Lonchura striata: one gene and its partners. The protein of the gene in region 4 interacts with the protein of the main gene of each other region in a pairwise test. Links are inferred from orthologs where the notes say so. Each region holds a gene or a part of one and is shown on either strand. Other genes may lie near its edges.

The links.
Region 1: the proteins of SAT1 (region 4) and CCDC148 interact in binary tests that used the Homo sapiens proteins (3 or more experiments, as listed by UniProt). The two-hybrid records come from large-scale screens. The link is inferred for Lonchura striata from reciprocal best matches to the Homo sapiens genes SAT1 and CCDC148.
Region 2: the proteins of SAT1 (region 4) and DIPK1B interact in binary tests that used the Homo sapiens proteins (3 or more experiments, as listed by UniProt). The two-hybrid records come from large-scale screens. The link is inferred for Lonchura striata from reciprocal best matches to the Homo sapiens genes SAT1 and DIPK1B.
Region 3: the proteins of SAT1 (region 4) and TCF25 interact in binary tests that used the Homo sapiens proteins (3 or more experiments, as listed by UniProt). The two-hybrid records come from large-scale screens. The link is inferred for Lonchura striata from reciprocal best matches to the Homo sapiens genes SAT1 and TCF25.

What each region holds. Positions count from the first base shown.
Region 1 is NC_134610.1:625,623-633,470, forward strand, and holds the start of CCDC148 (coiled-coil domain-containing protein 148), read left to right. Parts: upstream 1-4,759; 5' UTR 4,760-4,874; intron 4,875-7,848.
Region 2 is NC_134624.1:8,715,384-8,723,118, reverse strand, and holds the start of DIPK1B (divergent protein kinase domain 1B), read left to right. Parts: upstream 1-4,646; 5' UTR 4,647-4,718; coding exon 4,719-4,781; intron 4,782-7,071; coding exon 7,072-7,206; intron 7,207-7,735.
Region 3 is NC_134615.1:22,908,309-22,915,869, reverse strand, and holds the start of TCF25 (ribosome quality control complex subunit TCF25), read right to left. Parts: upstream 3,090-7,561; coding exon 2,910-3,089; intron 2,180-2,909; coding exon 1,985-2,179; intron 686-1,984; coding exon 611-685; intron 1-610. Other genes in the region: SPIRE2 (protein spire homolog 2), read right to left, coding at 4,046-4,262, 4,353-4,468, 4,683-4,710, 4,817-4,884, 4,968-5,102, 5,346-5,479, 5,572-5,722, 5,802-5,971 and 5 more. UniProt on the Homo sapiens protein: Component of the ribosome quality control complex (RQC), a ribosome-associated complex that mediates ubiquitination and extraction of incompletely synthesized nascent chains for proteasomal degradation.
Region 4 is NC_134604.1:103,766,725-103,773,924, forward strand, and holds SAT1 (diamine acetyltransferase 1), read left to right. Parts: upstream 1-4,090; 5' UTR 4,091-4,205; coding exon 4,206-4,271; intron 4,272-4,391; coding exon 4,392-4,611; intron 4,612-5,799; coding exon 5,800-5,901; intron 5,902-5,988; coding exon 5,989-6,029; intron 6,030-6,245; coding exon 6,246-6,416; 3' UTR 6,417-6,757; downstream 6,758-7,200. UniProt on the Homo sapiens protein: Enzyme which catalyzes the acetylation of polyamines. Substrate specificity: norspermidine = spermidine >> spermine > N(1)-acetylspermine. This highly regulated enzyme allows a fine attenuation of the intracellular concentration of polyamines.

The DNA of each region.
Region 1 (7,848 bases), on a different chromosome or scaffold from region 4:
TCGTTTCTGGTCACTCACACACAAAGCTATGCCAGGCCTTTCTCTTTTCCCACTTCATTACTGAGGTTCAAACTAGTTTAATTTTGGACTGGCAGTACATGCCATATTCCTAAGGATTTGACATCATCTTTTTGCTTGAGAAAAAAAAAACCCACAACCTGACCAAAAATGCTGAAAATTCTGCCCCGCACCTACACAGGTTCCCAGGGAGATGTCCACATGGTTGCTGTACAAGGTAGAAACACAGCTCAGGGCAGCCGTGTGTCCAGGGAGGCTGTGGAGCAGCTGTGTGTCCAGGCTCAGGACAGCCGTGTGTCCAGGGAGGCCGTGGAGCCTCAGTGCAGGCTCCGCACACGCAATGGGCCAGGCTCCGCACACGCAGAGGGCCAGGCTCCGCACACGCAATGGGCCAGGCTCCGCACACGCAGAGGGCCAGGCTCCGCACACGCAGCGGGCCAGGCTCCGCACACGCAGCGGGCCAGGCTCCGCACACGCAGAGGGGCAGGCTCCGTACACGCAATGGGCCAGGCTCCTCACACGCAGAGGGGCAGGCTCCTCACACGCAATGGGCCAAGCTCCTCACACGCAGCGGGCCAGGCTCCACACACGCAGAGGGGCAGGCTCCTCACACGCAGCGGGCCAGGCTCCGCACACGCAATGGGCCAGGCTCCGCACACGCAGAGGGCCAGGCTCCTCACACGCAGAGGGCCAGGCTCCGCACACACAGAGGGGCAGGCTCCGCACACGCAGAGGGCCAGGCTCCGCACACGCAGAGGGCCAGGCTCCGCACACGCAATGGGGCAGGCTCCGCACACGCAGAGGGCCAGGCTCCGCACACGCAGAGGGCCAGGCTCAGCACACGCAGCGGGCCAGGCTCCGCACACGCAGCGGCCAGGCTCCGCACACGCAGCAGGCCAGGCTCCGCACACGCAATGGGCCAGGCTCCGCACACGCAGAGGGCCAGGCTCCGCACACGCAGAGGGCCAGGCTCCGCACACGCAGCGGGCCAGGCTCCTCACACGCAGTGGGCCAGGCTCCGCACACGCAATGGGCCAGGCTCCGCACACGCAGAGGGCCAGGCTCCGCACACGCAGAGGGGCAGGCTCCGCACACGCAGAGGGCCAGGCTCCGCACACGCAATGGGCCAAGCTCCTCACACGCAGAGGGGCAGGCTCCGTACACGCAATGGGCCAAGCTCCTCACACGCAGAGGGGCAGGCTCCGTACACGCAATGGGCCAAGCTCCTCACACGCAGAGGGGCAGGCTCCGTACACGCAATGGGCCAAGCTCCTCACACACAGAGGGGCAGGCTCCGCACACGCAGCGGGCCAGGCTCCGCACACGCAGAGGGGCAGGCTCCTCACACGCAATGGGCCAGGCTCCGCACACGCAGAGCGGCAGGCTCCTCACACGCAATGGGCCAGGCTCCTCACACGCAGAGGGCCAGGCTCCGCACACGCAGAGCGGCAGGCTCCTCACACGCAATGGGCCAGGCTCCTCACACGCAATGGGCCAGGCTCCGCACACGCAGAGCGGCAGGCTCCTCACACGCAGAGGGGCTGGCTCCTCACACGCAATGGGCCAGGCTCCGCACACGCAGAGGGCCAGGCTCCTCACACGCAGAGGGCCAGGCTCCGCACACGCAGAGGGGCAGGCTCCTCACACGCAGAGGGCCAGGCTCCTCACACGCAGAGGGCCAGGCTCCGCACACGCAGAGGGCCAGGCTCCACACACGCGCTCCTGGAGCAGGGTCCCAGCCCATGGCAGCCCACCAGGAACGCTCCCTGCTCCCAGACCCTGCCCTGCTCTTCCACGCCATGAGCACCCAAAAACAAAAGAGCGCAGCTGCTCATCCGCATCACCTCCACGAAACCCACCCAGACTCACTGATGTGACTGAGCATGACAGAAAAGCAACTGAGAGCAACACAGACTATGGCCACTAACAGGCTCACTACTCTGCTTTTCCAGGCAAGTATCACAAGTTCTGCTTGCTTTTCTAGGGGGTTTTCCTGTACCACGTTACACTAAGTACTAAACCTGATACTAAGTATATTACCCTGGTACTAAACCAAACTAGTCTACTGTTAAGCTCACTGAACTCCCTGAACTCGCCACTACTTTCCTGCAGCAAATAACCAGATGTTGCAGGACTGGATTATTTTCAGCACCACAATTAAGAAAAAAAAAAAAACATAACAAAATTTCCCATAGATTCAGAACTGCTTTTGCTCTTCATCTGTACTAAATGTATTTAAACAATCTACATAAAGTGAAGCAGAAGTACATGAAGTACTTATTTATGTTTTCTGTTCATTTAAAATGCAGCTTTTCTCCAGAGTCTTTTCTCAGTGCATGTAGGTTTCCACACTAAACAGCAAACACACAGTACTAATTAAGATTACTATTATTTGTACATAGTATATGCTATCACCGAATATGAAAAATACCTCAAAATGCACTACAGACCCTGTTTTGCTATTGCAAGAAGCTTCTATAAAAAGGCAATGTATCCTACAACTTTCCTTGTTTACACTGTGTGACTGAATTTAACTGTTCTTTATAAAAGGATCCTGCATTACTATTGAAAAATGCAAACTCCAAAAGGCATTATCTTTTGACGATCTAAGAAAATTTAGAACTAATTATCTCCCCTCATAGAAGATGACTTGCACAAAACTTTGTCCAACTGTGTTTCAAAGCAGAACTTCTGGTATCAGTACCGCTATTTGTGCTGAATATCTGACAAGATGAAAGGGAAAAATAGTTTTTACTGGAAAGGAAAGGGGCTATCAGCTTTTCTACCTTAAATTAAAAATATTAATAGCATCTTATTTCAGCAGCAATAGAGAACTTCATAAGCAATTTCAACAGAAAAAGAAAGTTACTGCAACCTACCTTTCCGCAGTAAGGTTACATTTACTTACATATAACATTGTAATGTTTAACAGAAACATTACAGGATATAAATGCCAACAGAAAGCTTTTGCCCCCAACACACACTCCCTCCACTTTGAATACGATGAACATGACTGAATTACTGTCTCTTCATAAACTAAACAGGCACATTTAGTGGGTTCCCATATATATATCGCAATGAACAAACTATTTTATGTTGACCTCAGAAATACAGTTATTAGTTAAGGGGAAAACATTATCATCTTTGTCATCTCTTAATCACTAAACTCCAATTTATCAAAAATTGACAATGCTGAAAAAACTGAAAAGCCAGTTCATGCAACACTAGTGCTCTCAATCCAACCACACCTCTTCCTTCAAACAGTCGAATCTGGAAGCAATGACTAATGTAAAATTAACAGGGAGCGGGAGGCTGTTTAGGGGAAAAAAAGTACAAAGGTCTATGGGGCAAACAGAGGCACTTCAGAAACACTCAGTTGTCTGCTTGTGAACACTGGCGATGTCTCCTGAGCGTCAGCCGGGAGGAGAAATGGACTAGAGGGGGCTTGAGTCATCAGCTCCAGTTTTTCTGTGTTGAAACAGCCTGGGTTCAGCATCAGCATTTATTTTATTGCGGCAAGACTTCATTTCCCAGCTCTCCCAGCCCAAGCCACGGCACTAGCACTCGGTAACCGGCACCTGCAGAGCACTTTCTGCTCCCGCACACACTGCAGCGCGCCCGAGGCACGGCCAGCCGGCGGCACGGCCACCTGTCCCCGCGGGCCACGGCTGTCCCCCCGCACCCACACCCCGCACGGGCTGCTCCGCGACCACCCCGCGTGTGTGACCGGAGACGGGGGAGAAAACACCGCAAGAAGTTCCTACAGCCTCGAGAGCCGCGCTCCCGGTGCGCGGGCCGAGGATGCTCCGTGGCTCCCGGCAGCGGGAGCGCGGCTTGTTCTGCGGTCACACGAAGGGTGAAAAATTCAGATTTAAGTCCCGGGCAGGGAACACAGGGACGGCAGGGGGGTCAGGCACCCCCGGGAACACCAGGGCAGCAGCCGGAGCCGGGGACTCCGGGGAGCACCGGCGCGGACGCCGGGCCCCGTGGCCGCCCCGTACGAGCACACCGGGAGCGCAGGGCCCGGCGCTGCCGGCTGCCCGCGCCCGCTCCGCCGACCCCGCCATCCCCTGCAGCACCCGCCGTGTCCCCGCCCGGCCCCGCGCCCGGGGCCGTGCGGCGCTGCGGGCACGGCGAGGCCCGGCGGCCCTGCCCGCTGCGGCTCCGCTGGGCTCGAAGCTCCGGGCGCGGCGCCGCGCACACCTCGCGCACACGGCGGGCACCGGCGGGCCCGGGCTCCGCGCTCCCGCCCGGCGCCCGGGGCAGGGCGGTGGCACCTCCGCCCGCGGGGCCCCCTCCGGGCGGCTCCACCGGGCTCCGGGCGGCCCCGCGGGCGCGGAGAGCGCGCGGCGCGCCGCCCGCGGGTCCGCCCGAGACGACGGCTCTTCGGCCCCGATGCCCCGGCGGGGTCCGCCGCCTCGCCTGCCTCGCCTCCCGCGCCGCGCCCCGCCGCCCCTCGCCTGTCCCGCGCGGCGGCCCCGGCCCGCGGCCTCCCCGTGCCCGCACTCACCGCGCGGAGCGGCCCCGCGGCCCCGCCGGGCGCGCCCGCCCTACCCCGGGGTCTCCATGGTGGCGGCCCCGCCGCCCGCTCCGCCCGCCCCGCCCCGCCCGCGCAACGCGTCACGCTCTGCCCGGCCCGGCGGCCGCCCCCATTGGCCAGGCGCGGCCCGGGGGGGCGCCCCATTGGCTGCTGCTCCGCGTTAAACCCGCCAATGGTGGCGCGACTTGAGGTTGCCGTGGTTACCGATGCCGTGAGGGGGAGACGGCGCGGACGGGCCGGGACGGACCCGGGCCGGGACAGACCCGGGCCGGCTCCGCCAGGACTGCCCGTGGCCCCACCGCCGTGAGCCCTCGCGGTGAGTGTCCGAGCGATGGATGGACGGATGGGTGGATGGATGGATGGAGCACAACCGGTGCAGGGTGCCCGTGATGGCCGGGCGTGCCTGTCCCGCGCTGCCGGCCGCCTCCTGTCCCGCCGAAGGAGGAGCGCAGAGAAGAGCAGCCGGAGTTCCGGGGGCTTTGCCGGGCCCGTCTGCCCGTCACCCTGTGTCACCGGGATGGCCCTTCTTGGACAGGGAGCTTGGACTGGCCGGCCGCTCGTGGTCCCGTCCCGCCTGCCGCTCCTGTGACCGGCGTCGCGGTACCGGCAGAACGCACAGCCCGCGGCGCTGCTCGAACACCTGGGCTAACTCCAGGTGTTTGGGGACGATGGGGAAACGCTTTCCATAGTGTTTTAATTTCCCACCATTTTAAGCTTCCAATAGCAGCCGAACTCTCTTGATGGCGTGTGAGGAATCATAGACGTCGAAAAGAAAAGCCAGTATCCCTAAAATCGCCGTAAAACATTTCAATAACAAGCTTTGGGCATGTTAAATGCTTGATCAATTTTTTGCATCCCATACCTGACCTAGACTTACCATCTCGGTGTGTCTCGGGAATCTGACTGGGGCCATTCCTCTCCTTCCAGCCTCCCGAGCAGATCGCCCCGGTGTAGCCCAGGTGTGACTGGTTTTCCATTTACTTATTCTCTCCTCCCACCCTCCAGCCCTGCAGGTACGATAGCGATCGACACTCTCCACTTCATGGGACGGTGTTGTAAATGGCTCAGAGGAGCCAAAAGCAAACGGCCACTTGAATCAGCAGCTCTTGCTGGCTCTAGAGGTTGTTTTATTCACCCTCTTCCCCTGTTGTATAGATGCAGATGGTGTAGAAATCCTGCTGTGAAGGAACGTGAAAAAGGTATCCACATGTAACTTGTGTCTGTTTTCCATCCAGCTCAGTTTTTCGGTTTACTGTTTGGTGGGGTGAACCACAGTTTTATTTTAGGCGTGAGGACACATGAACTCGTGTTGTGGTTTAATTGGTGCTGTGCTGATGCTGCAGTTAGAATTATGTCCTTGTTAGCCTCTGCTTAGGAGGGAACTGCAGGTAACAAGGAGGAGGTAGCTGAACATGAGAGTCACCTCTAAACTCGTCTGCCCCTTCTCTTAATTTCCCACTTGGGATGTAATATACTACATGGAAACTATTGGTAAGATATTTAATCTCTGAGGTTTTTGTTGCTATTTGTATAATTATTTATCTGTTGAATAATGCAATAGGAACTCCTACATTATGATGATATCCACATAGTAAACACTTGACAGCTGTAGCCAGGAGTCTTGAGTCCTCACTGCTCTGAAAAATCTCATGGTTTATACCATGTGAACTGCATATAAAATATGACGAAACTAAAATGGTGGTCTCTGTCTAGGAAATGGGAAACAGGAGCTGAGGGAAATAACAGTAGAAACTTAGTAAAATAGAGTAGCAGTTGTGAAATAAAATAAGTGGTGGAAGGGTCAAATGAGAGTGGAGAGCTGGAGTAAAGAAAAGATAAAATGTGAGTTAACTTGATCATGAATAAAGGGAAGAGAAAGCATAGGATGTGTGAGAGCTGTGACCTTCCTTAGCTGTAAGGTTGCTTCTACCAAAGGTGTACTGGATTAGTTAAATTGGCTTCAAATCAGTCTCAACTGGTTTTCACATGTAATTTGGGTATTATTATGCTGGCTTGGCTTTCACAGGTAACAGCTTTTGGGAAAGGAGGAAGCTTACTTGCCCCTCAGCAAGTGAAACTGTTCCTGGGCATCGCTGTGGGCAGGATGCAGGAGGTGGCACAATGCCATCCCCAGGCCTTCCTGGTTCTGGTGGCTCCAGGTGACCAGGAACAGGCTGCTCCAGGTGCCCTGCATCCCTGCGCAGCCATGCATTGCAGGCTCTGGCTGTGCTTTAGAGTTCCCCATTGGGGTGAGCTGGAAAAGGGTAAGAAATGCTGTTGGGAAGGAGAAAGGGATCTTGAGTCAGTTTGTTTTGGCACAAGAGAAGTAGAAAGAATTGAAAGTAATGTTTTGAGGTCCTGTCAGATTTGGAAATATGCTGAATGACTGTCAGTGAGGAAAAGCTGTTTCATTCTGTCTGGTATTAGTCATAGCCTCCTAGCTGGTTTGTTTTGGCACCCTGAGCAGCCAATACATTATCTAATTGACTGCCGTGTGTCCCAGTGCAGCAGTCCTGTCCAACAAGGATGACATAGGCTATGGAAAGGCACCCCATTTTAACTGTCCAGTTAAATGTCTAGCAAAGGGCTGCCTGGATGGTGATTCTTTGATTCCTTATCCATTAGCTGAAAGTGACCTTTGTCAAATATATGTTTAAATTCTTACATAATTTTTTAAATCGGCAACAAACAAGTCAATTTTATTTCTTTTCATCTTCTTCTGGATGCAACTTGCAAGTAAGATGGTCTGTATCATTCTCATTTAGAAAGCCATCATTCCACTATGTTTACAATTCATAGCAACCTAGTCTCATACTTTCCTTTGGGACTGTATGGTTTCTCTTGAGCCTTAAATCTGACCCTTTAAACTGACTGTGCTCATCTTCCTGTGGTTTAGATGGCAATGCTGTTAACAGATACTTGCTAGCTGTTTTTGCTGCTGTTGTGCTTCTTCAGTGTTTCCAGTCATTAATATGTTTTTCTGCTTTGTTTAATCTAGTCTGAAATCAATCCATAACAGAGTCTTGCTTTTTATATATATTCCACAGATGCTTACAGCCCTTGCAGAACATTGACATGTCTATCTTTTAATTTTAGTGATAAATATCAGTCACAAAAACAGTTTGCTATTTTTCTTGGTGGGTGTTGTGTTTTGTTTTTCTCATTTATTCTACTTTTTGTTTTGTTGTTGTGAATTTGGTTGGTTTGGTTTTGGGGGGTTATTTGGGGGAGGCTGAGGGCTGTGGTTTGGTTTCTGCTGGAAGCTATTTAATGCTACCTGCTTTAACTTT
Region 2 (7,735 bases), on a different chromosome or scaffold from region 4:
TAAACCACGCACACCTCAGTAGGCTAAAATCCACACGGGGAATATATGTCTGCATGAAATAAACAGTTGCTCTCTCTCAGTTTCCTCTGTTATTGATTAATGCCTCTTAATGACTCTGACCTCAAAAAATCTTGTAGTTGCCGCCTGTCACAGAAGATCAATGGAGCAGCATTAGCAGGAGATAGAGGCAAACTGTCCCAGGTGAGCTCTCTGCCGAGGCCAATGTGGGAGCAGCACAATCAATATTTCAGCATGACCTCTCCCTCTTGCTTGCTTTTTTTTCTCCTTGAGCTGGTTGGGCAATAAAGTCTGCTCTGAGCTTTCACCAGGACTAGATTATAACTATCCAAATTGATCTGATCTGTAAAGGATAAAAGGGTCTCTTAAGCCAGCTGTCTGCACTGGCAAAACTCAAGTGGCTGAGCAGACAGGGTCAGACCTTCATTAATTCCTGGATGCTTGGGACCCTGCTCATGCCATGCGTGAAGGCTGGACCACAGTGCTGGAGGGAGTCAATTAGTCATGACAAATGCAATCTGACTTCTCCCCCAGAGCTTTCCCAGTCAGTTGCTTGTGCTGCTGGTGCCTTTTCACGAGTGCATCATCACTGAAGCCACCATGCCCTGTTCCTCCCATGCTCTCTTTGTGATACCTCCTTGTTTCTCTTATTACCCTTTCTCCAGGGATAAATTGTGCTCAGGAGGGAGAGCCCTTTGTTGATTCAGGCACTGGGAGATGCTGCAGTGAGCAGAGGTGTCCCAGGTGAAGCATGGGACAGGGGAGGTGAGGGCGGGTTCTCTTTTGCTCACACAGCCACTGCCTTCTTGAAAACCTTCTGCACATCAACCCTCCAAACTGCAGCCTCTCTCCTCACTGAAACTGATACACAGGGAGCCCCTGGGAGATGAATGGGGACTTAAAAACCATGTCCAGAGCTGTTCATCCCACCTGTGCATCTCTGGCTCTTCTGAGGCCAGCTCAGCCCATGCCTGCTCCAAGGAATGTCTCCCTGGCCAAGCCTGACTTTGGGAGCCAAATGCCCAGGGTGCAAGCTGTGCCCTGGCTCTCATGTGGAGCAGCTGGGGGCTGGCAGGGGCTGTCCGTGGCCACTGGTGAGGGAGGAATCCTCTGGGCACGACCTGATGAAGAATAACTCCATAATCTAAAGCAGTGCAGGGATCTGCTTGCTCAGCCTGCTTCTCCAAGCTCCTTTGCAAGCTCCCTTTCCTCCCTGGCTGGGAAGCGCCCACGGTTGGCACATGATGGAAATCCCAATGAGAGAAGCTCCCCTTCCAGAGCCAGCACCGCAGGGCTCCCAGCCACAGCCACCACCCTTTGCCTTTAACCCCAGCACTGCCTGCAGACCCTTGAGCTTCCCTCTCTTTCACCTCATAGTTCAGGGCCAGGGACATCCCTGGGGTGTCCCCAGCCCAAGGTGATGGTGGTGAATGAAGGGTGAGACCCCCAAATGGTTCCCAGCAAGCCAGGAGTTCTGTGAGGGCTGCAATCCTGGCCCAAAGCATCCGACGAGCCCCAGCACCCCCATTCAACCCCCCTTAACTTCGTAGTGCTTAATTACAAGTAGCAGGGGTTTGGAGAAGAAGCGGAGGGGGCAAGCACAGGACAGATTGGAGGGAAGATTGTGCTGGGGGTGGCAGGGCTGTCAAGCCAGAAACACAAGAGCTGATTAGCATTTCTAATTATAACCGCTGTGCTGAGCCCGGCAGGGCCGGCAGGCAGCAGAGGCAGCTGACGGGCTGTGCAGTGCCAGCTGTGGATGCCGCGCAGGAAGCGCGGGCGGTCAGCCTCAAATCCTTCAAAGATGCACAGAAAAGAGCATTAAAGCCTGGATCCATCATCTCCGGAGCTGCGGCCATGCCTGGGAATGCCGGGAGCCATCGCAGCCCGCCCGGGGCAGAAATCCCTCTGTGCCCATGGGGCTGATCCTGATGGCAGAGGAGAGGGGGGTGAGCATGTGCCCCTGTTTGGGTTTGGGGTCCTGCACTCCCCTGCTGACCAGCAGCTCTGGGCACTGCCGGTGATGGCATTGGGCTGTCCCCAGCTGTCACCCAACTCTGACATCCCACCCAGAGGAAGGTGGGCAGCTCAGGGTGCCCTGGAGGGGATGAGGGGATGGAAAAAGGGATGGCTGGAGGTCCCTGCTCACGAGCCAGGCTGCTCTGCACTGCTGTTATCTCTGGCTGGAGATCATTTACTCCTTTTCATTTAGCCAGGTAAATATCACGGGCCAGCAAATGACCGCTGTGGGGCTGTGGCTGCCATGTCCCGGGGGCACGGTGCCCTTGGGGACGTGCCCGCAGAGCCACCGCCTGGCAGGGAAGTGATCAGAGGCCAGCGCAGCACGCTGCGGGCTGAGCTGGGATTAGCAGGGCTTTGACCAGGAGAAACTGAAGCGACTTAATCAAGGCAGGGAGTGAAAGAAGTCCCAGGGAGGAGCTGAGCATTGGCTGATCCCGGCATCTTCTGCATGCTGACAGCGCCTGTGGGAGCATTTTCACACAGCTCTGCCTGCCTGATGCTGGAGCCCATCCTGGCAGTGCCAGGGGATTTTGGGGAGGGGAGAGATACCTTGCACAGGGGCAGCAGCCCAGGCAGAGCATCCCTGGTGCCAGGTATCTGGGATAGAAACAGCACATGGGCACCATGGGGAGAGATCTCCCTTCCCTTGTGCGTTGGGTATCATCACACCTGCAGAATTTTTATTACTCTTTTGATTGGATTAATTAATCATTCAGTGATAACTGCTCATTAGGCATCCTAACAATCAATACTAATCACTTAATTACTTGGCATATTACAGCTTGGGATAGTCTGCTCATTCCTAATTAGATTCGCTGGACAATCCACACCTGAATTTTGCAGAGCCCCACAGCAGAGTTCTGTGGATTTCAAGCCACCCTCAGCCCTGGCCCAGGTGTGTCATTTCCCATCTCCATTGAGAATTCTTCTCCCACTCTTGGCCTCCAAAATCAGAGTTCAAGTCAGAAGGAGCTGCAGCAGCAGGGTGAGCAGGGAGTGTGGAATGCATCCAGCAATCCACCTTCCTGTCCCTGCTCTTTCCCAAATTACCAACCCCACCATCAAAAATAAATCTCAGAGGCTTTTCTTTTTTCCTGTGTGAATTAACACTAAAAATAAGAACCTGCTGGAGAACCATCCTGGCTTCAGTGGGTGGTCATACCTGCCTGGATGGGGGCTGTGGGTGGCCGAGGTGACGTTCATTGTCCCTGTCCCTGTCACCGCTGCAGGCAATGTCAGCCCAGCCCACACAGAGGTCAGGGCACAGCACTGGAGCAGCAGGGACCTCCTCGGGGTTAAAAGCAGGCAGCAAGCACACTGCAGGATTTGGGAGGTTTCAGGCAGTTTTGTGTGATGCTCCTTATTCATCACCATCATTTGGATTAGTCTGGCAAAGGCTTTTGCTCATTAGGCCCTGATTACTCAGTGCTTGGCACTCACACCGAGCAGGGATCTGGGCTCTCAGTGACCAGTCTGTTTTCAAAGGTCATTTTAAGCCAAATTCAAAATGAAGGAACAACCTGAGCCACTAAAAGGGGGCAAACGGATAATCTGAAGATTTGCTGATAGCAGGCAAGGAATTATCTTAACAATGCCCTCGTGACTGAGTCTCCCAGATAATTTCCCATCTTATTTGCTCCGTCCCCCTTGCTCTAACTTGAACGTGCACACAGGATCATTTCCCATCATTATATTTGCTCCATCCCCATTGCTTTAACTTGAATGTGCATGCAGGATCCCCCTGGATGGGGCTGTCTCTGGCCTATTGAACACAAAGTCTTGCTGTGAGATTTCCCTGCCTGGCCACAATGCAAACAGGGAGGAACAGCCCACGCTGCTGTTGGGTTTCGGGGTGGGGAAAAGACACAGCAAGGAGGAGAAGGGGTGGCAGGGCTCAGGCCTGAGGGGCTGCAGCCCCCCGAGCTGTGCTCACAGGTTACCTGCTATGGGGAACAAGGAGGGAGTCTGGCCGCCTGTCACCCCAAATGGCTCTGAATAAACCTGGAGCTGCTGTGAATGCTGGGGGCCAGGTGGGATCAGCATCTCCACAGAGCCCTCCCTGCTCTGCCAGGATCATCAAGCAGGGCTGGGAGAGCCTCTGTGCGGTGGGGTGAGCCTGGGGATGGGATCCCCGAGTGGGTGGGGTGAGCCTGGGGATGGGATCCCCGAGTGGGTGGGGTGAGCCTGGGGATGGGATCCCCGAGTGGGTGGGGTGAACCTGGGGATGGGATCCCCGAGTGGGTTCCACCCACTCGGGGATCCCATCCCCAGGCTCACCCCACCGCACAGGGGCTCTCCCAGCGGAACCCCGGAATATGGGATGGGCATGGCTCCTCCAGTGGATGGACCCCTCGGGCTTGCGGCATGACACCGCCGGCTGGGATGCCCAGATGCGGAGCGCTGGGTTGGGTTTGGCCGAGCGGAGCAGCATCCCCCCGGTTCCCCGGGCTGCGGCGGAGCTGCGAGCGCCGCCTCCGCCTCCCGCACCGCCCCGCGCCGGGCGGAGCCGCCGAGCCCCGCGGGCCGGGCCGGGCGCTGCGGCGGAGCGGGCGGCGAGGCTGGGCCCCCATTCCCCGGGACCCCGGCCCGCCCCCGGGCCCCGGCGGCGGTGCGGGGGCCGCGGCCGCCCGGCCATGCCCCCCGGAGCCTGAAGCCCGCGGCCGCGGGGTGCCCGCAGCATGCGGAGGATCCGGCGGCTGGTGCATCTGGTGCTCTTCTGCCCCTTGTCCAAGGGCCTGCAGGTACCGGCAAGAGGGAGGATGAGCCGCGCTGGAGGATGCGGGCTCGGGGATGCGCTGGGAATGAGGGGGGATGCGCTGGGATGGAGGGTGCGGGCTCAGGGATGCCCGTCTCCCGCATCCTGGCACCGGCCGTGCACAAAGGGACGCTCCGGCTCGGTTCCCCCGACGCCGGTGCAAGGAGCTGGGGGCCGGGCAGCGGCACCGCGGGGGTCTGGAGGAACGCCGGGGGTCTGGGGCAGCAGCCGGGGCCGCAGCGGTTGCATAACCCGCGCCGCGCTCCGCCGTGCCGGAGCCTGGGGGCACCGGGGCAGCCCGCAGCGCTGGGTGAAGCCGCCGATGCAGCAGGGAAGGGATGACTCCTTCCTTCTCTTTCTTTCTTTTTTTTTTTTTTTTCCTCCTCTTCCCATCTCTGAGCTTCCGAGGGGCCGGGCACCTCCCTCAGATCTCCAGGGATGCTGGGGCCAGGGATGTCAGGGATGCTGGAGGATGTCAGGGATGCTGGAATGGGAGTTTTCTCTGCAGCCGTGGGCTGAGAGAGCCTGACTGTGGCAAAGATCCCGGACCAGAGGGGTTACCCTGGAGGGGATGAGGGGATACCCGGTGGGCAGAGGGTGCTGGCAGGAGGTGGGTGCAGAGCTGGGAGTGCTTGGAAACAACCCCCGTGTTCCCAGGGGAGCCACAGGGATGGAGCAGGATTTTGTTGATGCTGCATCCATTTTGCCTTTGAAGTCAGCCCCAGCCCAAAGTCACTTTCATATCCTCGAGTCACTCTAAAACTAAACACAGCAACTCTCACAGGGCGACACCCTTCAGTGCAGGGAAGGCAATGGGGAGAGAGACCCTCTTTGAGGAACCCTCAAAATCCAAAATCCAAGCAGAGCTCAGGGGAACCTCTCATTGAAATGCATCCCCCACTCCCACGTTTCTTTCCACCGTTTTGGGGATGATGCAGCCAGAGTTCCCCATGCCCGCAGTCCTGACTTGCTTCTCCCACAGGAACATGATGGATTCTAAGTCAGAATAAGCAAAAAGTGACATTTTGGCTATTCCAGGTTCTCTAAGACATATTTCTAGCAGGAAGTCCCTGAAGAGCCCCTTTGCTGAGGGCAGGGGGCCTCAGGCACCCACCCTGGGTAGTTTTGGGGGGCTGCTGTGCTGGGGGGGATCTCAGGGTCTCAGTGTGTCTGACTTCAGGGCCATGAGCTGGTTCTCAGCTCACCCCACGCTTTGTCTTTGCCAAGGCCTGGCTGTGCTTGGCTTCTCTTTAATTTAATTTCATGTTAATTAGCGGTGCCATTGCTTCACAGGCAAACTGGGCACCCTTTCCCTCTTCACACTTTAGGGTTTCCAATTAACAGGAGAAATGTCACGATCTCGAGGCAGACCTGCCTGCTCTCACCCTCACTGCCCATTCCTGTGGCTCCCAGAGCCCTGACAGCTCCTGGAAAGGGGCTGAGGAGGAGCGTTTTGGAGGTGGGGAGTGGTTTTGGGCTACAAGACCCAAGTGAGGATCCCTGGCAGGTTTTAAAGGTGCTGCACTCACTCAGATCCAGCCCTATCCCCCAGCAGCAGGTCTTGAGGAGGGTTTGGAGGTGGTCAAAGACCAAGGTTTCTGTAGAATTACCTACAGAAATGGGATGGAAAGATTTGTTTAGTGCAAGGATTCGTTCCCTGCCCTTTGGAACCGCCGGGATCTGCTCCGTTACGGGAGCCAGGTGAGCAGCCTCTCTTGCAGGAGGCCAGATGGCAGCAGTGCTGCTGTGCCAGGGTCAGGGGGAAGGAACAGAGCCAGCAAAACCAAAATCCTGCTGAGAGCCTCCGAGTCGTTTGCACAGAGCATCACCCGTGAGCTCCCAGGTTTGTCACTCGCCCACTCCCACACGGGAAGTGCTGCTGGGAGCTTCCCCTGCCCGTGGGGCTTTGTCAAGGGGGGGTTCTGCTGAGAGGGGTCCCCCCAAACAGGAGCAGAGCTCTTGCAGCCCCTCTGGGGTACCCCAGGCTTGCACAGGGCAGGAGAGCAGGAGGACGTGACCACAGCTCCCAGGGATGCACAGCACCCATCTCCTTGCAGCCCAGCCTGCTAATCCCTCTGCTTTTAGGGAATTTTAAGTGACCTACTTGCAGCAGGAGTTGCATAAGAGACTGATGAATATATATAAAAAAGGCTGAAGGTTTCCCCAGCGCTCAGGTCGGTGCGTGTGGCAGGAGCCGTCCTTGGCCAGCTGCTGCTGCCCTGGGCAAAGCCCTGCCCTTCAGAAAGGGTTTCAAAAGCATTTCCTTTCCCTTGCAGGGCCGCCTCCCGGGCATCAAGGTGAAGTACCTGCTGGTGGTGTGGCTGGGCATCTTCGTGGGCAGCTGGGTGGCCTACATGCACTACTCGTCCTACTCGGAGCTGTGCCGCGGCCACGTCTGCCGGATGATCATCGTGAGTGGGCTGCTGGGCTGGCTGGGGCTCTGGGAACCCCATTTCCATCCTCCCAAACCCCACAGCTGGGAGGGGGAGCCCTCCTGGCAGCTGCTGCCCTGCTGCTGTCCCTGACACGGCAGGAGGGGTGACCTTACCCTGCCAGGGTGACAGTGAAACAATTCCATGGGATGGCAGAGGGAAGCAGCCAGGGCAGATCCACGTCTGTGCGGATGAAGCTGGAATGGCAGGGCAGGGAGCAGGATCTGCAGGCAGGGACAGCATGGCACCAGTCCCGTCTGGGCTCTGCAGAACAGGAGGAAAAAGGGAGCACGCAGTCCATGGCACCTGTCTGTGATGGCTGAGCAGCCCCAAGGAAAGAAAGGAGCAGAGCTCTGGGTGGCAGCCTGGCTCTGTGTTTGCCTCTTTGGGGTTTGCAGGGGAGCCCCAAGGAAAGAAAGGAGCAGAGCTCTGGGTGGCAGCCTGGCTCTGTGTTTGCCTCTTTGGGGTTTGCAGGGGAGCCCCAAGGAAAGAAAGGAGCAGAGCTCTG
Region 3 (7,561 bases), on a different chromosome or scaffold from region 4:
AGTGAACAGGGAGGTTGGACTCCATGATCTGGGAGGTCTTTTCCAACCTTAAGGAACCTGTAATTCTGTGGACAGTTCAGACTCAAACATCACCAGCAAACCAGCTGAACCTCACTCCTCTTGAATTAAGGAGATAAATGACTTTAATCCATCTGCTACTTCCAGCTCTGGGATCCGCAGCACTGGAAGGATGTGGAGCTGCTGGAATGAGTCCAGAGAAGGCCAGGGAGGTGCTCCAAGGGCTGGAGCTCCTCTGCTCTGGAGACACCTTAGAGCCCCTTAGTGCCTGAAGGTGTTCCAAGAGGGCTGGAGGGGGACTTTGGACAGGGATAGAGTGACAGGACAGGTTGAACAGGGCTTGGAGCAACCTGGTGTGATGGAAGGCCTCCCTACCCATGGCAGGGGATAGAATGAGATGAGCTTTAAGGTCCCCTCCAATCTAACCCATTCCAGGATTCCACGATCCTAAAGAGGCTTCTTTAACTTTAAATTTTGAAACTGCTTTTTTTTTTTTGCCTTGAATCTCTCCTACAGTCACCTCAGAATTCCCACTTTGCCAGCAGCACTGGAGGAACCACTGGACCCTGACTCAGAACACACACAGACGTACCACAGTCTCTCCTGCTGAATTTTTCTTGGTTTTCCTTTTCTTTTTTTTCTTCCGTGGCTTGTTACTCGTTGCCAGCTGCAAAGACAAAGGGAAGAGCTGTCAGCATTCCCAGGGGTGCCAGCTCCATGGGAAGAAGAGCATTTCCCACAGGAAATCAGCATGCTGAGGGTCCTTAAACGAAACCAAAATTCACCCTTCAGTGTTTGTTAGTGGGTGGAAATCAAGACACATGGAGAAAATGGAGGAAAGCACCAAAGATTCAAAAAGGGCAAAACCTCAGCTAACTTTCACATCAGTGTCTGAGGCTACAAAATCGAGAGAGAAACAAGTTCAGCTGTGCCAGGTGTGGAGGAAATGCTTCAGCCTCTTCCAGTCCCAACACCTGACAAAGGTCCAAGTGCCAGAGTGGCTCTCCCCAGAGATGCAGCTGCTTCAGCTCAGGATGCTGGGGGCATTCCCTACCCTGCTGGCACAGCTGCTCTTACCCGGACTGCACAGATGGGAAGCACATTTCCAGGCTCTAGCAGGTAACTCAGCAAGGGATCACAGCATCATGGGATGGTTTGGGGTGGAAGTGACCTCGAAGTTTATCCAGTTCCTATCCTCTGTCTAAGCAGGGACATCTTCCACTAGACCAGGTTGCTCCAAGCCTTGTCCTGGCTCTACCCAGGAGCAGCAGCTGCCTGCCAGGGCTCCCACATCCTACTTGGAGCTCTGGGAGCAGCCACAGGTGTGTCTGGCAGTGCTGGCACAGCCACCTCACCAGGTCAGGACCCCTGGAGCCACTGCTCACACAGGGACACACTGTCCAGAGCACTCACAGCCCCTGGGCTGGGAGAGGTCACTGGCACAGCTGGAATGCACAGTGGACTTTGCTCCTCTGCCACCCAAACCAGGGACACAAACCCCAAATACATAGCAAACAAGTGAGACCAGGGCCCAACCCCCTTTGCTCCCCCAGCATTCTTCTCTGGTGAGATCTGGGCATGCCTTGCAATGGGAAATTGTTAATTAAATACCCCTTTCCTTAGAAAATCCTGCAAGGAGACACTTCTGGGCTGATACAGACCACAGGAGGAATCTTGACATCCAATGACAACAAAGTACTATGGGGAAGAAGAGGTTCAGTGTTCAGCTGACACTGCTTGAAGTCCTCACATCCCCTCTGTGAGACCACTCCTCCCTGGCCCGACCCCAGCGCTCACGTGGGCACAGCACAACGCCTTCCCCGGGTGCCTCCCCTCTGCAGCCGGCAAATCCCTCTGGATCCTGCATATAAACCCAGCCCCAGCAGCAAAGTGCTCGTCCTGCCCAGACAGGAGTGAATTCCCGGGCAGGAGTGAGTGTCCCTGCCGGGATCCCTGGCAGCATTACCGTTCTGTGTGGCTGCTCGGCCTCCTGCCCCTCTCTCTGTCCATCACCGTCCGTCTCCGGAGGGCTCCCAGCCCCTTCCTTGCTCCCGTGCCTGCTCCCCTCCTGGCTCCCTCCCGCCGTGTCCTGCTCGCTGAGCCGGGGCTCCGGTCGCTCCTCTCCGGCTGCCGGCTCGTCCTCTGACTCCTCAGCTGGGATCTGCAAACACAGGGATGGAACTGCCCACGGATCTGATCCACCACTCCTCCTGCACACAGATGGAGGTCTGGACACCCCTCGTGTCAAGCGTGTCACCCAGAGGCTGCCCACAGAGGGGAGCACAGGACTCCCATGATGTGTCCCCTCACACCATGGACTCCACTCTTCCCTTGGAAGAGCTTCCAGACGTGGCCTTGCCCACGCTCACACAGCCAGGCGCCGGGGAAGGACAGGGACTGGATGGGGCTGGAGGAGGTGTCTGGGAAGCAGGACCGGGCTCTGTCACCCCAAGGACCCAGCAAGGCCCGTCTGACATCCAGCACTGGGATCCGGCAGTGCTGGGAAGGTGGCAGGGATGTTCCTAAAAACATTCTCACCAGTCCAGCTCTGACACCATCCAAACCCAGGCCTCTCTCCCATTTCCTCCCGGTCCAGCCCCAGCTGCTGCCCCCCACCCAAACCCATCACTGACCCCAATCACTGACCCCAAGTCACTGCCATACACACTGTCACCTCTGCCACCCCCTCAGTCACTGCCCCCCTGTTCCTTCCAGTACCCCCAAAGCCCGTCAGCCTCTGCTCCCAGGTCACTGTCGCTCAGCAATGTCCCGACTGCCCACCCGGCTCGGTCACTGCCCCACAGCTGACCCCCCAGAAACGTCCCCCGAGTCCCCGCCAGCCCCAGCACCCGCCCCCAGCCGCTGCACCCCGCGGCTTCGCTCCTCCTCACCAGCTCGAAGCGGTTGCTGACGCCGGCGCGGGGCGGCCCGCGGGGCCCCTTCCCGGGGGCTGGCGGCGGCCCCCCCTCCCGGGCGCGCTCCGGGCCGGGGCGGAGGCCGAGCTCGCCCAGCCCCGGCCCCTCCTGGCCGCGCTGCTCGCCCCGCAGCCGCCTCAGGGCCCGGCGCGACATCGCCCCCGCCCGCCGCGCGCCTGCGCCCGCACCGCGCCTGCGCGCCGCCCGCGCCGCGCCCGCCCGCCGCCGCCGCGCGCGGCCATTGGCGGCTGCGCGCAGGCCACGCCCAGGCCACGCCCCCCGCGCGCCGACGTCCCCGTCGGGGCCCGCGCGTGGAACGCGTCCCGGAGCGGGGAGCGGGGAAACGGGAACCGGGAACGGGGAAACGAACGGGGAAATGGGACACGGCCCTGAGACACGGGGAAACGGGGAACGGGAAACGGGGAAATACACGGGGACACGGGGCACGGGAAACGGGGAGACGCGGCAGGGCCCGGGACACGGGCGGGGACCGGGCGCAGGCTGGGGTGGGGGCGCGCGGGAGTGGGGAGGGGAGCGCAGGAATGAGGTGCGGGGCGTGCCCACGGTGCTGTGCGGGGTCACGGTGGGCACAGCCCGGGGCGGATGAGGGCTGGCGGTGGGAGATGTGCGGGTTGAAAGGTATCCCCGATCCCCTGAGAGCCCGCAGCACCCTCACCCCGCTCCCCCATCCACTCAACAGCGGCCACGCGGCCCCAGGGCAGCCCAGCGGGTTTATTATGGAGGGGACATACAGAACAGCCGTGCCAGCCCAGGGCACCCCGGCACAGCCAGGGCTTGGCACAGAAGCGGGGCCGGGGGGCGAACGCAGGGGCTGTGGGTGTCCCACAGCAGGATCCAGCCCCCAGGAGCTGCCCCGCAGCGGGATCCGTCTTCCCGGGGGGCTGTGGGTGTCCCGCAGCAGGATCCATTCCCTCGGGGGCTGGTGGCAGGGACGCACGGGGATGGCAGGGACAGCGGGAACGGGTCCTTTTGCCCCCTGGTCCATAATGTATATAAATATAGAAGCTGTGTGTATCCATCCTATGTATATATGTACATCGGGGGGCTGTGCCACCCCCGTGGCGACCTTCACCGGGCCGCCCGGCCCTTCTTCACTTGAGCCACGCGTCGCTGTAGAGGGAGCGCGCCTTGGCGTGGCGCCGGGACGCGGCGCTGGCGTTGAGCACGGCCACGCTGCGGCGGCTGGAGCTCACCACGTCGGTGACGAAGCCGGCGCAGTCGGAGCAGACGTCGCGCAGGACCGAGCCCTGGGCGTAGATGTGGGGGAATTCCTCCTCCACCCGGCGCCAGCACGGCCCCGAGAGCGAGCTGCGGCACAGGGCACCCCGTCAGCCCCCGCCGGCGGAGGAGGAGGAGGAGGAGGAGGAGGGGAACGGGGAGGAAGGCTCAGGGACTCACTGGAAGGGCTCCCTCCGGCGCAGCGGCGGGGCCCTGGGCAGCAGCGAGCCCGGCAGGCTCTCGAAGCCCAGCGCGTAGACGGGGATGTGAGCCAGCTTCTTGGAAGGCATCTTCATCTGCCGGAATGCGGGAGTCAGGGCGGGACGGGACAGCGACAGCGAAAGGGACAGGGATGGGGTAGGGATAGAGCACACAGGGATGGGGATGGGTCAGAGTGACAAGACAGGACAGGAGTGGAGTGGGATGGGGCAGGGACAGGGAGAAAATGGGGCAGGAGAAGGGCAGGGCAAGGGGCACAGTGGCACTGCTCAGACAGAGCCAGTCCCTTACCTTTAGACTGCAGGAGCTACAGACAGACCTAGGGACAGAGAGAGGTGGGTGAGAGGGCCCATTGTGGGGACCTGCTGCTGCCCTCCCAGCCCTGTGACACAGCACAGCATGGCACAGTTGGGCACAGTGCTCACCGCTTGCAGAAGAAACACGACGTGGGCCAGGAGAAGAGAGGAAACTTGGCCCTGCAGCAGCAGCAGACCTGTGGGCAGAGCAGGGTGAGCTGGGGTGGGTGGGTGTGGACACACGGTCCCCAGTCCCTCCAGCCCCCATCCCCATTCCCACCTTGCCCCTCCGCAGGCTGCTGTACAGCTCCTTGCTCTGCAGGAACTTCTCCATCTCGGCCTTGACCAGCACCCTGCGCACGTTGATCATCTCCTCCACAGTCAGGGCCAGGCTCTCCACAGGGTGGCTGAACTCCTGTGACGGGGGGGATGTCACTGCACTGTGACACAGGGCACGGTCCAGAGCACTCCTGTGCCAGGGCAGAGCCTCCAAACATGGGCAGAGCACCCCTGGCATAGGCAGAGTGTCCCAGGAGAGGCAGGCTATTTCTGGCACAAGGACCCCCCAGCCACCGTGTATCCTTGTGCCAGGCTGCCATGTGCCCACGGTCATGCTTGCCTGGTGTCCCCAGCCCCAGTGTTCCCAGCTGAAACCCACCAGCCAGAGGTGCTTGGAGCTGCTGGCAGGGGCAGCACTGGATCCATCCTCTGGCCTCTCCTCCACAGCTCCGAGGGCAGCCCGGGGCAGTGCTGGGCCATCTGGCAGCGGGTGGCAGCTGGCAGGGACAGAGCCTGCGGGGAGGGACAGGGAGGCTGTGGCCACCACCGCTGACGGGCATGGCACAGAACCCCTGGAGACAGGGACATGGCACCCCCGGGGGTACCTGAGCGGGGCCGTGGCTCGGGCTGCAGTGGCTCCGGGTCCCGTGGCACAGCCTGGTCACCCCCCAGTTGGCTCTGCAGCTGGGCCAGGTCCTGCTCCGAGAAGGAGCGATCCCTTTTCAGTGGCACCTCCGTGCCCGGAGAGTCCTCGTCCTGCAAGGCCGTGGGCACCGTGTCACCAAGGGCACCCTGGCACCCCCGTGTCTCCCCACCTCTGCAGGTTCTCCCTTGCCTCGGAGAGGTTCATCTCCTCCATCTCGGCCAGGGTGGGCGCCTTGAGCAGGACGCGTGGCCGTGGGCGCGCGGGCACGGCGCTGGCCGGGCAGCGGGACAGCTCGAGGCAGGAGCTGGAGCTCAGGCGGCCGGCGCAGGCGTGTGGGATGCAGGGCAAGGAGCTGTATCCTGCGGAGGGACGGGCTCAGCGCCGCGGGGATGGGCACACGGTGACACAGCGCAGCGGGGAGGGGACCCGGGTACCTTTCTGCTCCACGGGCCGGAGCTTCCGCTCCTGCCTGATCTCCTCCAGGATCTTCTCATGGAGCGTCCTCTGCTTCTGGGGCAGCGGCCGCAGCCGCCGCTCTGATGCCTGCGGGATACACAGATGGGACCTCAGGTGTGGCCATGGCTCAGGGGTGGCACCCATGGGACCCACCAACACTGTCATGACAGGGAGGTGGCCCGGTGCTGGCACTCACCTGCTTCAGGGGGGGCCGGGAGCGGATGAAGTCGAGTATGAGCTCGTGGGCATCTTTCTTCACCCGGGGGGGGATGTCTCCATCCACCTGGGGAGGGAAGGGGGTCAGTGCCAGGCTGGAGAGTGGCAGGAGGGGCTGGCACGGTGGCCACGCTCACCATGACCTTGCGGAGTTTGTAGTTGCGGGCACGGATGTCCTGCATGAGCATCTCGAAGGGCGTGAGCTGGTACTCGGTGGGCAGAGGGTTGAACTGCTTCTCCTGCACCTTCTTCAGCTTCACACCGTGCCGCAGCTCCCGCATCAGCTGCACCCACAGCCGGGCCTGGGGGGACACACGGACACGGTGTCAGCACCCACCCGTGCCCAGCTCAGCCCTGTGCCCAGCTCAGCCCCGTGCCCAGCTCATTCCCCGTGCCCAGCTCAGCCTCCGTGCCCAGCTCAGCCTCCGTGCCCAGCACAGCCCCGTGCCCAGCTCAGCCCTGTTCCCAGCTCAGCCCCATGCCCAGCCACACTGCTGTACCCAGTCTGTGTTGCGCAGGTTGCCCAGATCTGCCACCGGCCGCTCCTCTTCTTCCTCATCCTCCTTCAGCTTCTGCAGTAGCTGTTGGGACACAAGATGCTGTCACCTTGTCCTGGTGGCACTGAAGGTGCAGCCAGGACTGTGCCATGGGGCTGCAGCACTGAGGTGCACCCCAATTCCTGGTTCCCAGGCAGCACAGCAGTCTGGGAGAGGCTGTACGGCCAAGCACCGGCACCAGCAGCCCTGGTTGGCATGGGCAGAGGGAGCAGTGCAGCCTCCCCCATTCCTTTGTCACTGCAGGTGGTTTCCTCGGCAGGGCCCTGGTGCCAGCAGCCCACGCTCACCTCCTTGGCATCGCGGATCTTGGCGAGGAAGGCCATGAGCTCCACGGTCTCTGCGAAGAGGGCGCGGCACACAGCCTGGTAGTGCGCCGGGGCGCCGGCGGGGTCGGCCAGGCGGGCGGCGCAGCAGCGCATGGCCTGGCCGAAGGTGCGCACCGAGCGAGGCGGCCCCTCGCCCCCCTCCTCCTCCTCATCCTGCCCCCCGTAGCCCTCGTCGGCCGTGGCGCAGCCGCTGTCCTCGGAGTCGCTGTTGGTCATCAGGTCGATGAGCTGCTCCAGGCGCGGGCTCAGCTCCCGCTCCTCGTTCTCGTCCAGCCCCCAGTCCAGCGCCCGGTACACGGCAAAGCCCAGCGACTGCACCATCTGCGGGGGACAGCACCGGCTGGGGCAGCGTGCACCCGGCACCAGCTGGCCCCAGCCCCTCCTTGGTGCTGGT
Region 4 (7,200 bases):
CCCCCTGATTTAAGTACACTGCAGGATCAGAGCCAAAGGGACTTCTACTGTATCCAAATACAATACTTCTATTGTATCCAAAACTGAGGCCTGGCTGGATTTTTTCCCATCATTTATTTCTATAACTTTTATACCCCAAATCATTTGCACACATGATATAGATGATTTTTGGATTCAGGCAGATAATTAGTTATGTCTAAATCCCAAATGCGTTAAACTGCGTAATTACAAATGGCAAATAAGATGCATTAGCCTACAGGAATAGGGTTCTAATGATCTAAAAAATGTTTTCAAAGATAATAAAGAAAAATTATGGGCCTTTTATTGCCAGCATGTGGAAATTCATGTAGCTTGATCACATGAAACTGTTAATTTTGCATTTACCCTGAATTCTGAGCATTGCTTATGCAGTATTTATTTAGTATTTGGACTATTTTGACAGAGATTAATTATGTGCAGCCTAGTGCTGATAAACTGTAATTTTAAGTGGCTTGAATAAAACATCAGAAGCAACTGTGAACTTATAAATATCAATGCAAGGTTGAAGGATTAAGAAGAAAACATTCAGTTGAAAACAATAAGAGAATCCCAAATGTCCAAAAATCATGAAAAATTACAGGTCAACCCTGAATATTAATTGCATTTTCCATATTTTGCTCCAGACATTTGACAGACATACAACTTGGATTAAAATACTTGGAAATATTTATTAGTACAATGACAAAATCATTTATTCACTACATTTAAATGTGGAATAAGGATTTTTTTTTCTCCTTCTCCTCTTATTTATTACAGAGAACCTCTGAGGCATGAGAGAGGCATTCATACAGGAATGCAAGGAATCTTCCTAGCAAAGGAGGAAATCAAAAATTAAAACAGGGGAAGGGACTGATTAGTTGAACAGTAAAGAAGGCTGGTGCCCACTTTGAGCCTTTCTGCCCACCCTCCAAGGAAAGAGAACCTTAGAAAATTTAGATGCAAATAAAAACATGCTTTTGATCCAAGTGCAGATGGGGTCCCATAACTCTCTGAATAAATTGTTCCATCACCATGAAAGGATCTGGGGGAAATGGCTTGGTTATTTCCTGTATCTTCAGACTAGAAAAGACCTCCATCTCTGGGCAGGATGTGGGGAAAACTTGCCTCAGTCACTACATGCACTCCATATGCTTTTATTAACAGCTGTTTATAAAAGTTCCTGTTGCATGATAGAAAAAAGAAAGTGCCACTTGCTATTTTGCAAAAATTTTTCTGTTTCTCCTATGAGTAATATTTAGGGGAAGATACAATAAGAATAATAGGAATTATGCACATTTGAGATAGTTCTAACCATTTTAACTTCTCAAACACCAAAGTCCAACCCTCTTGGAAATGCAGATGGATTCACAATCAACAGATTCCCCGTGGAAAGCTGCTGGCTGGTACAGAAGAGCTAATCCAGAGTTCAGTGCATATTTCACTATAACAGATTATTTCAACATTGGTTTACCTTAAATTCATTTGCTACCCACCTGCCAGCACACATATTTGCACAATTTTAAAAAATGTTGATCCTTTCAGGAGACTTGCCATTACTCATTCCTTGGAGAGAAGGGCAGGTAACAGGCTGTGACCACTGAAGGATAAAATCCAAGCCCTGTGCAGGTCATTAAAGATTTCATCATTGGCCTCAGCTACGTCAAGATGACATGAAACCTGCTCAAAGACAAACAGACCAGAGACAAAAGGAAGAAGCTGTAAAACACATGCCAAATCAGTCTGATTAATTCACAAACTGAGTTCTTTTGGAACCTTTTTGTAAAATACCCTTAGCATTCTAATTAAACTTACTTATTCTAGAAAAATACCCTTAAGAATACATAACTAAGTAATTATACTATAGTCTCTGAAATATAAATATCTTAGCTATTTTAATTTTCCTTTTTTTACTAAATTTTCCACATTTCCTATTGTTTCATGAAACTTTTTTTGACATATCATGATTTTTTTTAAATATTTTTCCTCTGCCTTGTGAATTTGAAAGCTAAATCAAATGAACTGTATTATCTCAAGCAACACAATATCAGCATATTTCTGAGCAAATTAAAGCAGGACTTTCAAAAACAGTCAAGGGAGAAAATGTTTGGGTCTTTTTTTGCTGAGACTTCAACTTCTACTTCTAAATCATGTGACTTTTCTGACTTGAGAAGAAAGAAACCAGACACTTTGTTTTCTTACACAGCAGTAGGTTTCCTGACAATGTGACTTCCTCTTTGTCAAGAAATGCAAAACAAAGAGAGTTGAGATAACACAAAGGCTGTTGTCTTTCACAGAGACAGTATTTCCCACTTCTGATCCCAGTCTAATCATTTCTAGGGAACGAAAATATCCGTATTCATTAAAGGTATGTTGTTAAGCAGAGTCTGTTCCTTGATAGTTTATTCAGATGCAGTCGCCCTACTAAATGCCCTGTCCTGAGGGATTTTCAGACTCACAAACCATGAAATAAATTTTAACTTTTCTACTACTAGCCACTGGCAGTTGCTTAGTAATATGGAAATTATTCTGTTCTTTGGGCATCTCTATTCTTGCTCTAGTAGAGGGTAAAGTGAGCCAGTTAGGGTGTTTGCATAAATCCTAAATTACTCTCCCAGGCCTTCAGGCACTTTCCACTGTGTGCTAACACCAGCCACCCGAACACACACTTTATACACACTTCTTTATACAATCCTTTTGCAGTATCATGTTCCATGCTGGTCCTTCTCTCTAAGTGAAGGCCAACCTTGTAGCTTGTCAGATACATGAAAAAATGTGGGTGTGTTGTGACTTAGTGTCTTCCCATACCCCAAACCACTCTTAAAACAAGTCAAATAAAGCTAAATGGAAGATAATGAGCTCCTTTACAATATCTAAGAATGTACATGACAGTGGGCCAACTAATAGAAGAGGGTGAACAGAAAACCACACATATGGCAAAGAGTTGCGCTTCTCTGGGTAGCCCAGCTGTAGGTCCATGGACCACGCGGTCATCAAGATCATGATCCAGCTCATTCCTCAGCACACAGCAGTATCCCTAGGTAATGTCCAGAGGAAGCACAGGGCTGAGGATAATTCCTCCATCCTTTCATACTCCAAAGTCATGTCGTGGAGTCTCCTCAGATGAAGTTTCCTCATCACACCCACCTCTCTCCTCAGTGACATCCATACTCCATCGGGATGGCGTCGGAGCCTCCCTTATGGCAGACTACTGGCAGCTCTCCCTGCTTTAACCCCACTCCTTCGTGTTTCTCCCAGCACAACCCCTTCCCCCCAGTCAGGCGGGTTACGGTGCGTGTGCCAGCCTGGGAAACGTCCCAGCCCCAGGGTTAACCTTCGGTGGTTTGAACCTTTCTCCGTAAGGACGCTCCTGCCCGGGGCGTACCCCGGCGCCAGACACGCTCCCCCGCGCCCGGTTGGGTACAGATCACTGCTCCGCGTTCCCCGCAAACACCGAGGGGTTTTTCGCTCTCTGCTCACAGCGGTGCATGAGCTGCCCCAGGGCCGCCCGCGCTCTGCGGCCAGGGCGGCGCCAGGGCTCCTCACACTGCCCCGGGCTGAGCGCAATGGCGGGCTCGGTTTTCGGGGTCCCGCGGCAGCCGGTGCGGGAGAAGCCGGGTCGGCGGTGCGGGGGAAGCCGCAGGGCGGTGCGGGGGAAGCCGCAGGGCCGGCGGTGCGGGGGAAGCCGGGTCGGCGGTGCGGGGGAAGCCGCAGGGCCGGCGGTGCCGGGGCTCCCTGAGGGCCGGTCCCGCCCAGGCAGAGCCGCCGGGGTCGCGCCCTGCAGCTCCGCCCAGCCCCGCCAGGGGGCACCGTGCGCAGCGCGGGACAGGGCGAGTCACGAGACGGCCGCAGCTGTTGCCGGCAGGCCCGGGCAACATTCCGGGGAGGGGCGCGGCCATTGGCTGAGGGCGAGCACCGCGGGCGCTCCTATTGGCTGATGGTCGGGGAAGGCAGGGCGAGGACGTCTTTAAATAGGGCGGCCGAGGCGCTGGGCTGCACTCTCCGAGCCGGGGAAGCAGCTGTAGCGAGCCGGACCGTCAGCAGCCGAACGCCGCCGGGACATGCTCGCAGCCTGACTGACCGCAGGTGGCCGCCGCGCCCGGGACACGAATGAAGAAACAGCTGCTCCTCCTGTTCACACACCGGGGACTCGTCAGCCGAGGGGGCCGCAGGGGGAAGCGTCGCCGAAAATGGCCTCGTTCAGCATCCGCGCCGCGCGTCCCGAGGACTGTCCCGACCTGCTGCGACTGATCAAAGTGCGGGCGGGGCGCGGGGCGGAGCGGGGGGACAGCGCTGCCCGGTGCCGGAGCAAAACAAACTCTTGCGCAAGGGAGGGGGGCTGGGGAGAGGCCGCTCACAACCTCCTTCTCTTCCAGGAACTGGCGAAATACGAGGACATGGAGGACCAGGTGGTGCTAACTGAGAAAGGTACGGAGGCTGCAAGAGCTCACCCGGTTGGCGGCCGAGTGACAGTGCCTGTGTCTCAGGTGCGTGTGTATTCTACTTTTCTAGAGCTGCTTGAGGATGGTTTTGGCGAGCACCCTTTCTACCACTGTCTGGTTGCAGAAGTGCCGAAAGACCAGTGGTCATCTGAAGGTGAGGCTTCCTGATACTTACTTTTGGATGCTCAATACAGAGAAGCATCATTTGCTTAGTATTAGTGATTGTAGATGAGGTTCCACCATTGGACTGGGGTAGGAGGACTAGGTTAACTGGTAAAATTCAATAATGTATAGTGATACTCTGCTGAAGTGGTTGCTAGTCCTGAAAGCATGGGAGATCAGGTATAGCATAATGTGCTTGACTCCAATTATTAAATGGCTTTTCTTGTTTGACCCTGACTTACCTTTATGTAATTCTGTTGAATCACATTTTTTTCTTTAATTTGTCCCCAATCTTCAGGTTACAGTCTCTAGCTTCGCCATGTACATGGCCCTTCTGTGTACATGGATGGGCGGGGAGGTAACTAAAAGATCCGTTACACAATAAAGTAGATGATCATAATATGAGGTAAGGCCTACAGGGACAAGTGCTATTCCCAAACCTTTACCAAAGACACAGTAGATGGCAGAAACCTGTTTGCACGCTTCTATTACAGTATGTGCAGAGTGTTATGGCAGATGTAGTTAAAATACTCAGGGTTTGTGTTTTGAGTGGGCTGTTGTTGGAAGAGTTGGCTGTGGCTCAAGAGTTGGCTCAACTCTTGAGCCATCGAGTTGCAATTGAAGCTGCAGCTTTACTTACCTTCTTGGTGCTGAAGGTAAAGAAAACAGTGTGATGCTCAGTGGAAGCATAAGTGGAAGTGCTTGAAATGCTGCTATAAAGGTGGCCTGTAAATAGGCCTTCTGGCACAGTAGTTACTGAGAAATATACATAGAAGGATCAGTGTTTTCCAGGGTTTGACAGACTGTTCCTAAGGAAGCAGAGCTGGGGCAGTCATCTAGATTGTGAGCTGCTGTGTAAAGTACTTGTCTTCCAGACTAGAAATGAATCAGTAGGGTGTGCATTATTTTGTAGAAAAAGGCCATGTTTGCACTTACTATGACAGTGCTTTTGAGGATTTCAGGGTATGGACAGAGCAATTTTTTGTTTTATTAAGCTGATACAAATTTGCCAGAACTTGAGTTTTCAATTGTGTGCTTATTTGCAAACTTCACTTTTAATTGTATCCTAGTTTCAAATGTCTGCATGTCCCAGAGAATCTGTATGTTTAAACATGCATGTAAAACTTAGTATTTTTACCTTGTAAACTCTGACTAGCTGAAGTTACACCCTTTGTTTCAGAAACATGCATTGTGGGCTTTGCCATGTATTACTTCACTTATGATCCATGGATTGGAAAACTGCTGTACCTTGAAGATTTTTACGTGATGGCTGAGTACAGAGGTACCTATTGCAAAATTAGATGAGTTAAAGCCCATAGGGCTTCTGTAGATGTAAAACTTAAGCTTCTTGTTTCTTGGTTTTTTTTAGGACTTGGTATTGGGTCAGAAATTCTGAAGAACTTGAGTCAGGTATGTGTAAGTGCAAAGTCTAAACAAGAATTAAAGGAGGTGGCAGGACTCTAGACAGCTTAAAACATTGCCTAGAGTCTGGTAAGCTGAGAAATGCTGCAGTGGCTGCTGGAATGAACTCAGTGGCTTATGGCAGTAGCCAGTTGCTGAGTAATCTGGCTGGGTGTCACTGGGGCCGTCCCCAGGTGCTGTAACCGTGTGGCATTGGCTTTGCAGGTGGCTGTGAAGTGCCGCTGCAGCAGCATGCACTTCCTTGTCGCGGAGTGGAATGAACCTTCCATCAGGTTCTACAAGAGAAGGGGTGCCTCAGATCTGTCCACTGAGGAGGGCTGGAGGCTGTTCAAGATTGACAAGAAGTATCTCTTGAAGATGGCAGCAGAAGAGTGAGAGATTATTCCAGCAAATACGTATTTTCTGCGAATATATGCGCTCTCTGAATAAACTTCTTGCTTTCTGTGTATGTACAGTTTGTAGTGGAATAAAGTAGTGTGGATGCTAATAATGGCAGTGCAGGTGTGGTTATAGAGTAATGGTACTGTGATCTGGAGCTGAGGCATCTGTGAAGTTCAGTATGTGCTTGTGTGCATCCTTTACCAGTGTGGGCTTGTAATCCCTGTATATGGAGACTTCATTCTTGTAAGTGTCATTCAACTGTGTACAATGTACACACTGGTAGGGTTTGTTTTAATTATTGCCTTTTATAAAAATAAAATAGTGTTTTCACTTCATGGTAGTAGTTTTGACTTCAATTCTCACATAAAGTTTTCCATCAAATAACATGCACATTAATAAAAGACTTGATTGACGTCAGCCTTCTCACAAGTTAAATGATTTACTATGGTCTCCCAGGGAGATAAAAAGGCACTTGTGTGCCTGTGGGACCTGATGGCAAGGTTTGAGCACCTGACTGTTTGAAAGGGTTTGAGATCAACCCCTGGTGGTGCAGGGCATCCTGCCTTGTGACCTATATTTTTAGGTATGTTTGGAATCCCTACAGTAAGGTGCTGCTCTCTGGACAACTGTTCCAGAAAGTCCAGAGCTTGGGACTTCCACTTAACTGCAGAGCACCTCAGCTGGAAGGGCACAGCCTTGAAGGGAAAGATGCATCCTGGTATGGTTTCAAGGCCTGAGTAGCAAAAAATTAGTTCTGACTAGTCACATGAAATGAAAG